Linked DNA regions of Drosophila melanogaster. The protein of the gene in region 1 purifies or fractionates together with the protein of each later gene. This does not show direct contact. Each region holds a gene or a part of one and is shown in the gene's direction. Other genes may lie near its edges.

Region 1 (4,075 bases):
CTGCGGTTTACTCCTAGCAGCAGCCACTGTTTGCTGCTCCAGCTGCTCCTCCGGCTCCTGGGAGCGACGGGTTTGTGGGGGAGTGCTGTTGGCCGATCTTAATGCCGTTTGCCTAGTAACGAGATAATAATGTAGTGGCAAGAAGTTTCTAAGTTAAATGTATCCTTCTTACCTCATTGTTGATGTCGAAGACACCTTCCTGGATCTTCTCGTAAATCTCTTTGGCCGTATTTATGAACGCCTCCTCTACGTTGGCAGCTGTGCGCGCAGAAGTCTCCATGAAGACCAGTCCGTGCTCGCGGGCGAAGGCCTCGCCCTCCTCTTTCTTCACCTCACGCCGCGAATCCAAATCGCTCTTGTTGCCTATCAGCATAATGACCATGTTCGAGTTCGAGTGCTGACGCGCATCCTCCAGCCAGGTGGTCAGGTGGTTGAAGGTCTCCCGTCGCGTGATGTCGTACACCAGCAAGGCGCCAGCAGCTCCGCGGTAATAAGAGCGTGTGATAGATCTATTCAAGAAATATTTTGCGTCACAATACAGTTATATAAATGACAGTGCTTATATTATTTAATTATTAGTAACCCATTAAATTTCTGTCTGACGACTTCTATTTAATTTTAAGTAAAGTATAAAAAATTTATATCACAAAAAATTAAAAATGATAGAATTAAAACTTTTTTAAATAAACATCTATCAACAATGTGCCGAAATGAAGCAAATAAAATTTTTTGAATACAAATTATTAAGCCTTTTTACTAAAGGCTCTATATATATATATTATTATTATTTTGGATCATTAAGTAAGAATTTTATTCAAATTATTTTATTTAATATAAAAAACGAGCCGAATTATTATCCGCCTTGGACTTGGGGTTTTGGATACGAAATTTGCAAAAATTTATTCAGTTCAATTTTGGAAGTAATCTGAGCTTTCACTTATCCCTTCTTAAGTATTAACACTAAATGAACAGAAGTGGGTACCTGAAAGCCTCCTGCCCAGCCGTGTCCCAGATTTGAAGCTTGATCTGCTTGCCGTCGATGGTGATCATGCGTGCTCCGAACTCCACGCCAATGGTCAGGTCGTGCACCGGCTGGAATCGCTTGTCCGTGAACTGGAGCAGCAGACAGGACTTGCCCACGCCTGCGGAAACGGAAAAGGGTTAGTGGGCGAGCGGGGAAAAGGTGGGACAGGCTGGAAAATGCCAACAGCTGTTGGACATCCCGAAAAGCAGAGTGCTGATAAGCCCGTGGCTCTTTGGGGCGGAATCCCTCAATTACTGGGGGTGGTTGGGTGAGTCAGCAGCAGGGTTTATGTGTGGGCTGCTCCCCGCGCACCACTAACTCTGAGAGCAGCAAACGCCTGTATGCGTTGTTATGGTATTATTGATTTTTCCTTCGGCCCACCGACTCCAGGAATATTTTCCTGCCGACGCAATTTTGATCTCACGGTATCAATTTTTCACTTGAGACCACCTGAAACCCCCATTTTTTGATTTTCGGGTACGACCCCTACGCCTGCGATGCCCTTTGTTTTGTTGTGTTGTTTGCAATTACAGATTGTTTCCCTGACAATGGCCAACTTTTCACTGGCCATTCCGTTTCAAAGGAAGTCGCAGCTTGCACTCACCTGTGTCTCCGATAATGATGTATTTGAACAAGTACGCGTAGGACATGTTTTAAGCTGACGGGGGTTACGGTAAGCTAGTTTTTAGAAAGTACGATCTCGTAATGCCACAGATAATACGCAATTCTTGTACGTTTTCCAATCTGTTCGTATTTATGATGACTGGCTAGCGACAGTGTGGCCACTTTGTGGCCAGGGCTGGCGGAAATACCGAAATACCGCAAGGCTGCAATCGCCCTATCGATAACGATGCGCACTGCCGCTGGCCAATCGATAGGTATATGTATGTATGTAGAATTTGTCAGAAATTTTCTCGCACAAAGCAAAGTGTTTTGGAGGATAAACGCCAATTAATTGTCAAGCGATGTGCCAGCTCCTGTAGAATACACTCAGCATACTACGGTGCAGGGATCCCACATCCGGAGACTCCCGCGGGGCAGGGACCAGGCTAGCATTCAGTTTCTGCCAGTGATTTTCTCATCAAGGCGTAGGCACAGACGTTGTGGATCATCGCGTCTTCGAGCGGGTGAAACATGAAGATGGCTGACGGCTCGACCATATTGCGTAGGAACCGGCCAGGCACAAAATCCAAGGTGAGCGATGACATGGCGTCCGAACAACGATCCCGGCCCGGCCCGTCTGACCCGTTTTCCGTTTCGCCTTTCAGGACTTCTGTCGCTGGCCCGACGAGCCCCTGGAGGAGATGGACAGCACGCTGGCGGTGCAGCAGTACATACAGCAGCTGATTAAGCGCGACCCGAGCAACGTGGAACTCATACTGACCATGCCCGAAGCCCAGGATGAGGGCGTGTGGAAGTACGAGCACCTGCGCCAGTTCTGCATGGAGCTGAACGGCCTGGCAGTGCGGCTGCAGAAGGAGTGCTCGCCGTCGACGTGCACCCAGATGACAGCCACTGACCAGTGGATATTCCTGTGCGCCGCGCACAAGACGCCCAAGGAATGTCCGGCCATTGACTACACACGCCACACGCTGGACGGTGCCGCCTGTCTGCTAAACAGCAACAAGTACTTCCCTAGCAGGTATGCAGGCTTAGCGACATGGTTGAACTAGCCACATAATAAGCAAAGTGTCTCTCCCAGGGTGTCCATCAAGGAGTCGTCGGTAACCAAGCTGGGCTCCGTATGTCGGCGGGTGTATCGCATCTTCTCGCACGCCTACTTTCACCATCGTCGCATTTTCGACGAATTCGAGGCCGAGACGTATCTGTGCCACCGTTTCACGCATTTCGTCACAAAATATAATCTGATGTCGAAGGAGAATCTGATCGTGCCCATCAACGTGGGTGAAAACGCGGCCCCTGGCGAAAGCGAGGCTTAGGAGCCCGCCCAGATTAGTCAGACTCGCATGAAACACTCATTCAACATACATCTATTTATATTTACCAATAGCTTGCAAGTTGGGTTGGCTCACCCTGACAGGGAAACGATTCCACGCGGACCCGACTCTAATGCAGATCTTGTATGTAGTTTAGATGTCAGATACACATAGAGCTACATAACGATAACTAAGTAACAAGGGCAGACCCCCTCAAACCCGCTCGCCCCATCTGATCCTAAGTCAGCAATTATTTCGCAAGTTATATTACGATTATGTTTAACTCCTTATTTTAATAAATTATATGTAGGCACACGACCTTCTCGTGGCTGATTCCACGTCAAATCCCCGTAAACTAAACTAAATTCCCTTGACTACTGGCAGCCAAAACACCAACACAGCTGTACGTGACTAAAACGTGAACTTTACTATACAAAATTACTATATACACAACAGAAATTGCAATAAAAGAAGTACATACATAAACACACCAAGGGCAAGTACGATCCTCCTGTGATAAATTTGTCAAACGATATTCACTTCGTGCATAGGCTGTTGGTTTACAAGGCGTTCGAAGCCGAGGCGCGACAGATCCAGTGTGGTAAACTTGCCGTCCAAGATTAGTTCGGAAATGGCTCGACCCACGGCGGGAGTCTGCTGAATGCCGTGCCCACTGAAGCCTGCGGCAATGAAGAGATTGCTGTAGTGAGGATGCCTGCCGATGACGCCGTTTGCGTCAAATGTGTTGTGGTCATAGAAGCCCGCCCAGCTGCTCTGTATCTTCACAGACTCAAAAGCAGGAACTCGGTTCGCCAGTGTGGGCCAGACATCCGTTTCAAAGTACCCGTGGTCCACGTCCAGCGTTTCGCACTCCGGCTCCTCGTCTTCGTTTGGACTGCGGCCGCACAGGAAGTTGCCGCAAAGACCGTCCCGCCTGAAGTAGGTGCCATCGGGATCAACGGTCAGAGGTGTGGCTAGCCCAGGACAATTCTTACCCTGAGTGCTAACCACATAGACGTATCGCTTGCGAGGCTCCACCGGCAGGGCTACACTCAGGGAAGCCTCCTTTGCTTCCTTATCACCAATCCCTGCCAGACGCGCCACCTGACCCGAG
Region 2 (4,468 bases), on another chromosome or scaffold:
ACCCCGGGAATCGGGGGGTACACACAGGCCCAAGCCCAATCAGGGTTCCAGGCAGAAGCAGATGTATCCACCGACTCCTCCAAATGTAACCCGACTTAGCGATGAATCCGTAATGTTGCGCTGGATGGTGCCCCGAAACGATGGGTTACCAATTGTCATTTTTAAGGTTCAGTACCGCATGGTTGGCAAGCGCAAGAACTGGCAGACAACCAACGATAATATACCGTATGGAAAACCGAAGTGGAACTCCGAGCTGGGCAAGAGCTTCACGGCTTCGGTGACGGACCTGAAGCCTCAGCACACCTATCGTTTCCGCATCCTAGCCGTTTACTCCAACAATGACAATAAGGAAAGTAATACCTCGGCGAAATTTTACCTGCAGCCAGGTGCAGCACTTGATCCGATGCCGGTGCCAGAGCTTCTGGAGATCGAGGAATACTCTGAAACCGCTGTGGTGCTGCACTGGAGTCTAGCCAGCGATGCGGATGAACACCTGATCACTGGCTACTACGCCTACTATCGACCCTCGTCCTCGGCAGGGGAATATTTCAAGGCAACCATTGAAGGAGCCCATGCTAGAAGCTTTAAAATAGCACCCCTCGAGACGGCCACCATGTACGAGTTCAAGTTGCAGTCCTTCAGTGCCGCCTCTGCATCCGAATTTAGTGCCCTTAAGCAGGGGCGCACCCAACGTCCCAAAACCAGCACCACAGAGGAGCCAACACTGCAAATGGGCGACCGCGATACAACAACTCCCAGTCATAACGAGACATTCAATATGAGTCCCATGCTGACGGGAACAATCGGCGGCGGGGCAGTGCTCATTCTGCTTCTGATTAGCACCTGTTTCTGTGTTTGCCGGCGTAGGAATTCCAGAAGCCGGGGAAACAATCCAAACAAGCCACGGATGGCGGAGCTGAGAGATGACTTTGTGCCGCTGGGCAACTGCTCGCCCACCAAGCAGCGCCAGCGAACACGACACATCCACATAACCTTGAATCCACTCGCCCAGCAGCAGCAGCAGGCGCTGGAGGAGAAGAATGACACAGACCAGGATGCGCCCTATTATCAGCGGCCGTCGAGCTATGACTACGATCCCACGCTGCGCAGGATGTCCTCCTCCTCGCTGCGTCGCTCACAACGCACGCTGGAACGTGCTGGCGGCAGCAATGGCTCCAACAACGGCAACAACAACAATCTAAATCAATCCGCAGAGGCGGGTTCCATCGAAAATCCCGGCAAGCCGGGTCGTGTACTCATGAAACGCCCCCGTCTGTCCAGTCGCTCCGAGAACCTCTCCTCCGGCAGCCTCAACAGCGTTGGCGTGTAATCGCAATCTCGTGATCTTTAGTCTGTGCATCCCTACGCCCGATGTACCATGCTATTCCTCTACCTCTGTTTTATCTACCACTTTGAATGACAAAACCTTTGCTGTTTGTACTTAAATAGGTACTTAAATAGACATAACTAGATTTATGTATGCATGATCGTTTAAGAACATAGCATTATGTCCATTCTACGCTAAGTCTTCCATTTTTCGCGATAAGATCAAAATCTGTACTGATAGCTTCTTAATGACCTATACAAAAATGACAATAAAGCTTGTAGCTTCACCTTTTAACCTTAAAAGAGTTTTTTAACATAAACATAAAGGATTTAGCCAAAAAAATGACATCTCAAGCTAAAAGTTAAAAAACAAAATTATAATTTAAATCTTTGGTATATTTGCGGTATATCAAGTGTTGAAACAGTATTTTTTCGCATTCAATGAGTGGCGTTAGGGATTTGTGCAACATCCGATGGCGTTTGGGATTTAATAAGCTGTCAGCCAATAATTGGGTCGTCGTCAAAATTTCTATTAAAATCGTTTCTATTCCTACATATTTTGGCCGGAAAATCAAATGAAGCTGTTACGCTAGGGACGAAGCTGCACCTTACCCGCACCGAACGTAAGACACTGCTCGTAGGCCCCAGAAAGTGCACAAATTTAAGCGGTTCCCTTTGTTTTCGCAGTGCCAGCAGCAGAGGGCCTGGCCCCCGAAAACAATACAAATCCAAAAATCGCAACTGGACTGAATTGGGCAGGATGTCGAACCTATCCGTGGGCCAGATTATAATGGATGCGCAGCGCATGGCCAGTCGGGTGAAGGACCTGGACGCCCTGGGCACGGCGCTGCTCGAGGAGGCGGAGAACAACAATCGGCTGGTGGAGAGCCTTCGCCAGTATCAGGACGACATTGAATCACTCAACCGCATTTCGAACAACAAGACCAACGCGGACATGGTGAATCGCATTCAGCAGCAAAACATCAACAGCTCGGAGATACTCAAAGAGAATCGCGAGCTAAAGATCTTCATTGAGGACTACGAGCGTGCCATGGAGCTGATGATGCAAAAGTATCGCGAGCACACCGTCTCCAAGGTCCTGGATAGCAAGTTTAGCTTTAAGGAGCTGTACAACGAACGCATGTGGCAGGTGATCCGGGAGCAGCGCGAGAAGATCAACGAAATGGCAGCAGTGATGCAGCTAGCTGCAAGTGTAGATGACGGTGTCGTGCAGCGAGAGCTGCAGACCATATCCCAGCTGCGTCTGGAGAACGAAACGCTGCGCGAGCTGCTGCAAATCTCCAAGCAGTACGGCTCCTCGCAGCGACCGATTCGTGAGAGCGACCACCTGCTGGAGGAGAAGGCTGTGCAAACGGACAGTACGGCGGACGACTCCGCCGACGATCTGTCCATATCGGGCGCCTCGGTGGAAAACATGAACAACAACTCGGTTATCCAGATGTACAGCAGTCCGGAGCAACCGGCTAAAGTCGCCGGCACCACGAACTCATTTAACACTGCACCAGTGCATAGTCAAAGTGAAACACAAGCACCAAGTGTGACATTGGAGACGGCGCCGCCGGGGGAAGAGCCGCTGGCGAATGATAACAATAACGGACCTGCAGTCAACACAACCAGTGCACCGCCGCCAGCGACGACGTCTAACGAATCTGTCGAGGATCAGGCGACAGTAGCGCCCGCAACATGATAGGTGCTGCTGTGCAACGTTGTTGATTCGTTTGGTCTTCATTTGAATCGTATTTACTCACCCACTCACAAAACAGGCCGCGCACGAAGAGGGCCCACATAACCTGCATTAGCTCTTAGCGATTGATAATCTCTAAGTAATTTATACATAATACGAATTTCAACATATTGTCCATACGCATTGAGAACAATGAAGTTTATTATTTAAAACGAGGTAAACACACTCACACCCACACAAATGTAATGTACAATGTACCCTGTCGATTTTATGGTTTGCTAAATAAATTCCAATACAAATCGGGGAATAACCAAAGGAATGAGCATATTTAATTTAACATACAAATGTATTTCAGTAGTGTATTTAAATAAGATGTAACTTTGCTTTAGATTGCTACTCCGTAAGCTAACTAATTCTTAAGTTATTTCCCAAAAGATGTTACGAGTAGAATCCCATCTATTATGCGCCCCTCCCATGAATTTGAATATTTTTGTTAGAAGGCTTTTTAAATTTGGCCATTCTAAATCCCAGCCAAACAGAGAAGCGGTTAAATAATTCATTGGATATGACTCATTGCTTATCGAGTAAGGCTGATCAGAACTTGATATACACACATACTTGTGTGGAGTTTAAATATGAATAAAGTATAGCCACTAAAATTAACATTTGCCACAATGGTTATCAATGGTTATCGAGCAGAAGATTTATGATATAGTCATGTTAATTTTCAAAAAGTCAACTTATTACACAATGAACCAAGTTGAACAGAATCTGCCATGAGAAAAAAAAACAGCAGTAATAACTATAATTTTAGAAGCTTAAGATTCCAAAGGCAAAATATTGGGGTTTAAAAAATTTTAAATAATTTCATTATTGTATTGTTTAAGTTTAATTTGGTTATTAATCAATATGGAAAATTAGGAAAACCAATTTTTTGAATAGATATTATTGAAGTAATTATTATTATTATTAGTTACAGTGTTTTTTTTCTTTAATTCTATCAAATACATTTTTGTAATTTTGATAAATATGGAACCTGAAGTGTAAAAGTAATATTATATGGATACCCGTAAAGATTTATGGCTGAAACTTTCAATTGGCTTGGACTTGAATATTTTTGAATAATTTTCGAATCGCTCTCATCGATTCTCTGCGCCAAAATATCGGTTCTCTTGAGGAAAACACTTTTCTCGCACGACTGGTAGGTAGTTGAAGCTTTCAGAAATAATTTAAATTTAGTTTCTCGTCGATTTTCAACGCGTTCGCAGCCGAAAAAAAAGTGCCAAGGAACTGCGCCCGGTTCGCATGGCAGCCATCTATATAAGTATTTCGAGTGCTCGGGCAATCGACGGTTATATTAAAGCTATATAAATATATAGGCACATACGTGCTTGGCCTTTGTACATGAATGTGAATCGGGTGAAAAATTGAAAACTG
Region 3 (8,028 bases), on another chromosome or scaffold:
TTATTCCGGAGCTGGTTTGAGTATAGCGCTGCGGGGACGGATTCGATGACTCGTAGACCTGGAAGGTAAGGTAGTTAACTTGCTGGCTCAACATGTTACTTTCTTTCCATTTACCGTCTCCACGGTGGGACCATGGCTGTGGTAGGACTGGATGTACCGCTCGAACTCCTGGTTCTGGCGGAGCTGCTGGTTGCGCTGTCGAAACTGGCCACTATGAGGACTCGGCGGCTGCTGGTGGATGGAGGGGCGTCGGCTGTGATTCCGGCGACGGGGCAGTCGTCCGTTCTTGGACATAGGTGACTGACCCTGAGCTGGCGGCTGCAATCCCAATCCCTGGCGAGGAGACAGCTGCTGGGGCTGCTGTTGCTGCTGGGTTTGAGACACCTGTTGCTGCTGTTGTTGCTGGGACTGGGATAGCACCTGCTGCTGTCGCTCCTGGATGCGTTGAAACTGCTGATCCTCATCCCTCTGAGGACCCGCCCTCAGCTCGGCCGGAGCCATACCATCGACGTACTTCACATCCGCCGGATTTGTGGCCGGTTGCTGTGCAATCGAGATGTTGACATGGGTGGCCGCATCCACCTGGCTGCAGGCCACCAGCAGGAGCACCAGCACTCCTCGGAACATCCTGTTCTAATCCTGTTACCAATCCGAAGTCAAAAATCCTAGCTGTGTGTCCAATCACTGCTGACCACCACCAAAGCTGACCGCTGTCTGATCGATAGTGGAGTGTGCTCCGCATATTTATACGGATTTTGGGTGGATTCGGAATCAAAATTGGGGGAGCGATCGCATTCGCAATCGCGATCGCGATCAGTGTCAAAGTCAACTGCAGCACTGGGAATAGCAATGCATACACACTATGGCGACAATAGCTTCGATAGCTTCGCTACTGACCTGGGCCAAACTGTTTAGGGATGAGTCTCAGATGCTTAACCTAGTTCTACAATTAAAGGCATTCGAGCGATCGCATTTGAGCGATGATGCATTCAACAAATTGCTGTCATCGCTTCACACTTGTGTGGCACGCACCAGCACTGAGAGAAAAGGGGCCTAAGTTCGTTCATATATCACAGATATATCATTTAATATGCGATTTTATTAAAATAATTTCTTGGGAAAATTTGGGAAAAGTTCTTTCGGGTAAAAGAAGCTAATCCAATAGAGATCTTTAATTTCGCTCCAGCTCATCAGTTTGGTTTTTCTCCGCCTGATCTCCACTGCGAATTTCGATGGCATCCGTAAATGGTGAGTGCAGCATTTTCATGTAATTGTCGGAAGGTCGGAGTCGCCGCTCCATTGGCAGCTGGTTTGAACTTGAAATCCGGCCGAGACGTTGAACTGCTCCACTGGAGGAGGAGCAGCTCGAGATCGGCGCCCCAATGGGCTGACGGATTCGCATTTGTTGGTTTTGGGGGTGCTGGTCAGGCAAACTTGCGCAATCGAAGTTTGGCGAGCATTTGGCGAACACTCGGAGCACTCGAATTCGGAAAGAAGGTAAAGGTTAATGTGAAGTACTTTTGCTTCTTTCTGCACTTAAAGTAACCACCAATAAGGTCAAATTGGTAAGGGGGAATATTTTAAAACAGATATTGCCTACTCACAGAAAAAGTAACTTTTCTTTCAAAAATATCTAAAGGATATTAAAGCAAACTTGTTTTGAATATCATTATAGAGAAAGGCAAATATGGGTTTTAAAATCTAAAACTCAGACTAATTGATCAAGGTCCTTTCAAAGATTAATTAGTTTTAAAACAATGCGAGCTTTCGTGGTCATTAAGTTGAACAAGTTTTCAAAAATTGTGCTCTACCGTTGAAAACATCATACCTTTCTTTTGTGAATTTCGTTTTTCCCTTAATATGACATCTCCAAATTTCACAGTCACCTAACAAATATATATGGCTTGGAAACAGAAAAATAAACTCCTTTTTGACACTTGTAAAAACCAGTTAAGCTGTGGCGCCGTAAACGCCAGATCCTCGATGATGCAGTCCATCCAGTCTAGGATCAACGTGCTTAACACCATTGCTGCTTCCAGCAAGCGGATTGAACGCGCCAGCGTTGACACGGTAAGTCCGAATTGATACAGTTCCAACTACCGATCAAAGTACGTGCCCGGCGTCGCCAAACACCCAGGTGATAGTGTGGTAACCACGAATGGCGTTTATTATGTTTGCGGGTGGGAATCAAAACCAGTAAGGAGTAGACAATATATATACCATGCGGTGCATGTGGCCGGCCACAAGACTATCTGTGGCCAGACGGTTACAAGCTAAAGCTACGCGAAAACACAGTCCAAAAGAGCAGCTAACGTCTAGGGCACATCTACAGCAGCTTTTCAATGTCCTTGGCGATGTCCATGGGATCGGTGGTCGGGGCATATCGGTTGATGGGCACGCCCTCCTTGTTCACCAGAAACTTGGTGAAGTTCCACTTGATTCCGCTGCCCAGGGTGCCGGTCTGCTTGGCCTTTAGGTATTTGTACAGCGGCGCCGCATTGTCTCCATTCACATCGACCTGCGGGGGTGGGGCAAGTTTAGTGACTCGGTCTACAGCAATCGGCTAGCAGCTTTAATAGTCTTACCTTGGCGAACACCTCGCCGATGTCAGCCTTGGAGTCGCGCAGGTGGCACACCATGGCCTCTCCATCGGCCTCCGGCATCTGGGACCCAAACTGATTGCACGGGAAGTTGAGGATCACCAGGCCGCGCTCGCCGTACTTCTCCTTTAGATCCGTCAGCTTCTCGTAGTTGTTCTTGGTCAGGCCGCACTTGGAGGCGATGTTCACCACCAGGACCACCTTGCCCTTGTACTTTTCCAGGGAAACATCGTTGCCATGGGTATCCTTCACGGTGAACTCGTAGATCGAGGCGGCGTTCTTGTAATCTCCGTTAGCAGACATGTCGATCTGGAAGCAATAGAAAGTGGGAGTTAGAATTGGGTAATTACTAGTGGCTGTGAAGGCTTGGGTCGATGTTTTGATCAAGAGATATAGATATTTATAGCCTTATCTTCAATCGGGGTATGAAACACTATATTCTGTATCAAAATCGACCCAGGCTACGCGGTTCATTGCAGTGAACAGGCAACAGAGAACAGAGAACAGAGAACACAGGCAGTGGCAAAGGCTACAACGTTTAGTTAGGCGCAGAATCAAGCAACTGAGTTAGTCAACGGGTTAGGATCTAGTCAACTAGCAATCAGCACTACTCACGGCAGCTGCTGTGGAGTGCTGGGCGGCTGAGGAGATGGCGTTCATGGGCGTGGCCGCACAGCTCACGGGAAGCATGATGGTGCAGAGGCGAAGGCACTGCCTCTGACCGCGACTCAGCTCGAGGACGGGGCCAGGGGTCCGCCTCATCGAGTAGCACCTGAGGGCCTGGCGGGAAATGTTCTGAAACTGCCTGAGACTCATTCTTTAAATGCTGCAAATAATAACCGGGCAGAATGTTCAAATTTAGTGAAAGCTTAGGCAAGTGAAGGAATTACTGGTGTGGATGTGTACGTTGTGTATCAGATCGAACAACAATCGTTTCAAAACAATTCAAATGGGAAAATATAAAAATCAAGTCCACATTTCTACTGATTAACGAAATAGTTAAGTAGATAAGAGCAAGTAGTAAGTAAAGTAGTAAGATAGCTCAAAGCTATCTTATTTCCGAATAAGAAAGTGTGGAAATGTATGTGGTGTATAGATTGTATTCGACAACCCGACGACAAACATCCAAGATTATTTCACGTTTTGATAATGGGTTTCCTAATAGTTGTATGTTGTTTCATAGACATTTACGAGGGTGCTATCAGGCTTCTGGTTACAGTGACGCTGCATAATTCATCGGGGTCAAAGTCAAGAGCTATATGTACATATATGTATATCCCAGCACCCTGTGAGTCACGCAACCTAGTGGCTACGCACAGTGACCTTTAAGCTGGCCAGGATTGGCCCACGTAACCCACGACGCTGCCTCGTTACCGTCGCTGATTGCACATGCATGCCATTGTTCGAGTTGATTGGACAGCAATTTGAAGGGATAGTTAGTGTTGTGGGTAATTACTTGCATGGTGAAGTAGATGTACGATCCCAGGGCGATTGCCACGGACCCCAGAAAAAAGTGGACGATGGAGCGGCCAGCCATTACTGAGCTATATATCGACTATGTGTACGATTTCACAACGATCTGCTGCGAGTTTCGGATGCAGGGATACAAATATAGAATGCGAATGCCGAGATTCTGCAAGCTCACGCTGATATGGGCGAAAATCGGGAGCAAAGTTCAGATTCGATTCGACTGTTTTCCCTGCTCTATATACATATATTCTTGTCACCTCGACCAGCTGTGTTTTTGGGCTGATTATGCTGTGCTTAATCTCGACAGCTGGGTATTATTGTTTGGGCTTACTTATGGCGTAATAGCAATGACTAATGGAACTGGGCACTTTCTCACTTTCGAAGCGTAAATAAAACTGAAACCGGCGACTTGCAAAAACCCTTATTTATATGTGTAGGTGAAAGCACTTGTAATGTTCTGGTCTGGTCACACTAGGAGCACAACTTTTCCAGAGTTGCCAAGTGTGGTGGTTAAGCCCTACTTTCTAAATTTAAGCATGAAAGTAAAAGCCTTTAATTAGAGCTTCAAATTGTATATATCATTACTATTGATTATCATTTTGTAAACACAAAATATCAAAATGAAACAATCCCTATTCCTAATATTAGTACAAATCAAACAGAACCCTTATTTCAAATTTAAAGCAGCGGCAATTGCATCAGTCGCTGCCACATCCGATCGAACGGCCTTGCCAGACGGCCAACACCATTTGCTGTTTGGTATTTTCCGACCACACAGCAAACGGTCGTACGAATTTTCTTCTTTTTCCATTGTGCGTTTTTGTTTTTGGCGAGAAACAAATTGCAGTCGAAATTACCCAGTGAAATGCAGTGCGAATTGCTTAGTACGTCCATGTGCTACTAAGACCAAGTGGGAGAGAAAACCAGCGAGCAGGAGCAACCACGCCCACGCCAGGCGCACCGCCCACCGCCGCAGGATACACATACACGAGTAGCCCACACTCACGCACATACACTTCCACACAAAAGAGATCCCTGTGTGGCGAAAAAGGATTGGCGGAATGATGCTCACATCCATAAACAACTCCTTTGAGCAGGACACCCACGATGCGGACGCCAACTGCGACGGGCCCGACCTGGACTTCGTGTACGCGGACGTGGATGGCTATCAGAACGAGATCGCTGAACTGTATAGCTACACGGAGTTCAGCGAGTTTCAGATGAACGTGAAGGCCTTCGAGGACCAGATGGAGCTGTACGACCTGCCGCCCAACTGGCAGAAGCAGGACTCCGCCTCCCAGCGCGGCATCGTGATGAAGCTGGTGGACCAGCTGGAGGTCTCCGATCGATCCTTTCGCATGCAGGCCGCCCGGTGCATCCTTTACCTGGCCCAAGGCTGCTGGGCGGAGGTTCAGTCGGACGAGGAGCAGCACCAGATCACCAGGGACAATGTGCTGGTGCTCTACCAACTCGGCGTCTTCGCCTCCTTCATCGACCTGCTCAACATGGAGATCGAAAGCGCCTGCTCTCCGGACATTGTGGCCGTCAAGATCACTAACGTCACGCTTGTGGACTCCACGGACATTCGGGTGATCCTATCTGTGCTCTACATCATCACAGAAACGATTCGCGATGAAAAGGAAAAGGGCAGCGAAGACTACAGAGAGCTGGCCGACTCCTTTGTGCAAGAAATCAACTCACCACTACCAGATGGCGAACTTCTGGCCGTCAAGCTGTTGGGCATGATCACACGGTTTTGCAGTGGCGCAGCACCGCAGTTCCCCATGAAGAAGGTTGTCCTCCTGCTGTGGAAAGTTTCGCTGCTGGGACTGGGAGGCATGGATGTGCTCAAGAATCTCAAGAACGAGTATCGATTGAAGGTGGGTTTGGAACCCATCACCGAGGACACGCTGGAGGTTACCAAGTGCATGCGAGCCAGCTCACCGCCGGCCACAGCTACTGATATACTGGAGAACCAGTATCCCAAGCGGAACTTCAAGTAAGCGGAGTCTTAGATCACTTATGTACACTTTTCAATACATTCATTTTCCTTGCCGCACAGACGCTCCCTGATGAAGCAGCGTTTTTTGGACGAGCCCGAGCAGATAGACATGGAGATGGGCGGCAACGAGGGTCAAAATAATGCCAACAATGGCAGCGGCAATGGCGGAAACGGGGAGGAAGAACTCTCTCAGTACTACCGACCCTACGATGACCCCTCTTCGTCGGCATCCACCACCTCGACGGCAAATCCAAACAACCAGCCTAGCCTAACACAGCCACCCGCTGCTGTGCCTCCGGTACAGATCACGGCTCGCCTGCCCTGGACGCCTAAGGTGCGACAAAAGGACATTGACCAGTTTCTGGACATTTCGCGGAATAAGTTCATCGGGTATTCACTGATTGGTGACCACGAGAGTCTGGCTGGACTGCCGCAACCCATTCACGAGGGCTTTAAGACGCTGCAGCGGCACATGTATATGAGCCTGGCCGATGTGCAAATTAAGAAGGAGGAGGACATAGCTAGGAACCCCATTTCCACGCACGAGGACGAAATCAAACTGACCCCGGCTGAGGTGTTGTACCAAGCCATCCTGCCAAACCTGCCGCAGTATATGATCGCCCTTCTCAAGGTCCTGCTGGCAGCTTCGCCAACGTCCAAGTCCAAGACGGAGAGCATCAACATAATGGCCGATGTGCTGCCTAGGAAGATGCCGCTGACGGCCACCCAATCAACAAAGCTAACCGTCGACATTGGTCGGCACAAGGAGATCATTGTGAAGGCTGTCTCGGCCATCATCCTGCTATATTTAAAGCATTTCAAGATAAACCATGTTTACCAGTTTGAGTTCATGTCGCAGCATCTCGTGTTCGCCAACTGCATCCCGCTGGTTTTGAAGTTCTTCAATCAGACAATCACGGAGTACGTGAACACCAAGAACTCCATTCCTCTGCTCGATTTCCCGTCGTGTGTGATTGGTGAGCAACCGGATTTGAGTGGCGATAGCTTTGTGTATGGCGGAGAGATGTCCGATAAGTCCTACTCTTGGCGGAACGTGTTCTCCTGCATAAACCTGCTGCGCATCCTCAACAAGCTGATCAAGTGGAAGCACTCGCGAGTGATGATGCTGGTGGTATTCAAGTCGGCACCAATCCTGAAGAAGACGCTTAAGGTGCGCCACGCCATGATGCAGCTGTACGTGCTGAAGCTGCTCAAGATGCAGACCAAGTACTTGGGCCGCCAGTGGCGGAAGTCCAATATGAAGACCATGAGTGCAATTTACGCCAAGGTGCGGCATCGTCTAAACGACGATTGGGCCTTTGGCAACGACTTGGAGTCGCGTCCCTGGGACTTCCAGGCGGAGGAGTGTACGCTGCGGGCCTGCGTGGATCGATTCAACCTGCGACGCTATCCGGAAGCCACCCAGAAGTGTGGAAACAACGGCACGGCAGCTCAGAATGCGGAGAACGCCCAGCAATCCAACATGATGGCGGGCAACAATGGATGTGGCAATAATGGCGACGCAAATGGCTATGGAAACAACGGTGGCGGTGGCAATGGCGGCCACAACCAGCAGCAGCAGCTCAACGACTATGGTGTGGAGGGTGGCTTTCCCAGCGACGAGATCCTTACCCACTCGGACTTTGCCTTCTTCGGTCACTCGGGTTGGTGGGATCGCAAGGTCGAGCTGACGGATTACTTCAAGGCCAATTACGCGGTCTGGCTGGAGGAGGAGGTCTACAACAGTCAGACCGACTGGGACGCCCTCTAGGGCAGGGCTGCCATCGGTGAGCAACTGCATACCGCATGTGCCCCGTCACACTTTTATTTACGTGATTCCTTTTTGAATTACAGCTGCTCTAATATCCACATGCGCGTCATAAAAGCAAGAAGTTATTAACGTAATTGTAAGCATTAAGAAGTACATTGATATAATCCATGTAGCCCGACCACGAT

Evidence for each region.
Region 2: the proteins of Mob4 (region 1) and Fgop2 purify together in Drosophila melanogaster (affinity purification with western blotting; 2 studies listed by BioGRID, with this or other methods). This does not show direct contact.
Region 3: the proteins of Mob4 (region 1) and Strip purify together in Drosophila melanogaster (affinity purification with western blotting; 2 studies listed by BioGRID, with this or other methods). This does not show direct contact.

The regions. Positions count from the first base shown.
Region 1 is NT_033778.4:6,694,483-6,698,557, reverse strand, and holds Mob4 (MOB kinase activator 4), read left to right. Parts: upstream 1-1,896; 5' UTR 1,897-2,158; coding exon 2,159-2,218; intron 2,219-2,292; coding exon 2,293-2,666; intron 2,667-2,714; coding exon 2,715-2,964; 3' UTR 2,965-3,444; downstream 3,445-4,075. Other genes in the region: Rab2, read right to left, coding at 14-112, 173-509, 983-1,142, 1,629-1,674; CG3270 (uncharacterized protein), read right to left, coding at 3,487-4,075.
Region 2 is NT_033779.5:6,942,615-6,947,082, reverse strand, and holds Fgop2 (fibroblast growth factor receptor 1 oncogene partner 2), read left to right. Parts: upstream 1-1,793; 5' UTR 1,794-1,949; intron 1,950-2,013; 5' UTR 2,014-2,086; coding exon 2,087-3,034; 3' UTR 3,035-3,905; downstream 3,906-4,468. Other genes in the region: ihog (interference hedgehog), read left to right, coding at 1-1,330.
Region 3 is NT_037436.4:3,322,741-3,330,768, reverse strand, and holds the start of Strip (striatin interacting protein), read left to right. Parts: upstream 1-1,897; 5' UTR 1,898-1,899; coding exon 1,900-2,070; intron 2,071-2,142; exon of another isoform or gene 2,143-2,326; coding exon of another isoform or gene 2,327-2,518; intron 2,519-2,585; coding exon of another isoform or gene 2,586-2,909; intron 2,910-3,215; coding exon of another isoform or gene 3,216-3,416; exon of another isoform or gene 3,417-3,426; intron 3,427-4,056; coding exon of another isoform or gene 4,057-4,137; exon of another isoform or gene 4,138-4,504; intron 4,505-4,732; exon of another isoform or gene 4,733-5,131; coding exon of another isoform or gene 5,132-5,167; coding exon 5,168-6,069; intron 6,070-6,132; coding exon 6,133-7,843; 3' UTR 7,844-7,859; intron 7,860-7,926; 3' UTR 7,927-8,028. Other genes in the region: CG14961 (uncharacterized protein), read right to left, coding at 1-58, 115-627; Gtpx (glutathione peroxidase homolog with thioredoxin peroxidase activity), read right to left, coding at 2,327-2,518, 2,586-2,909, 3,216-3,416.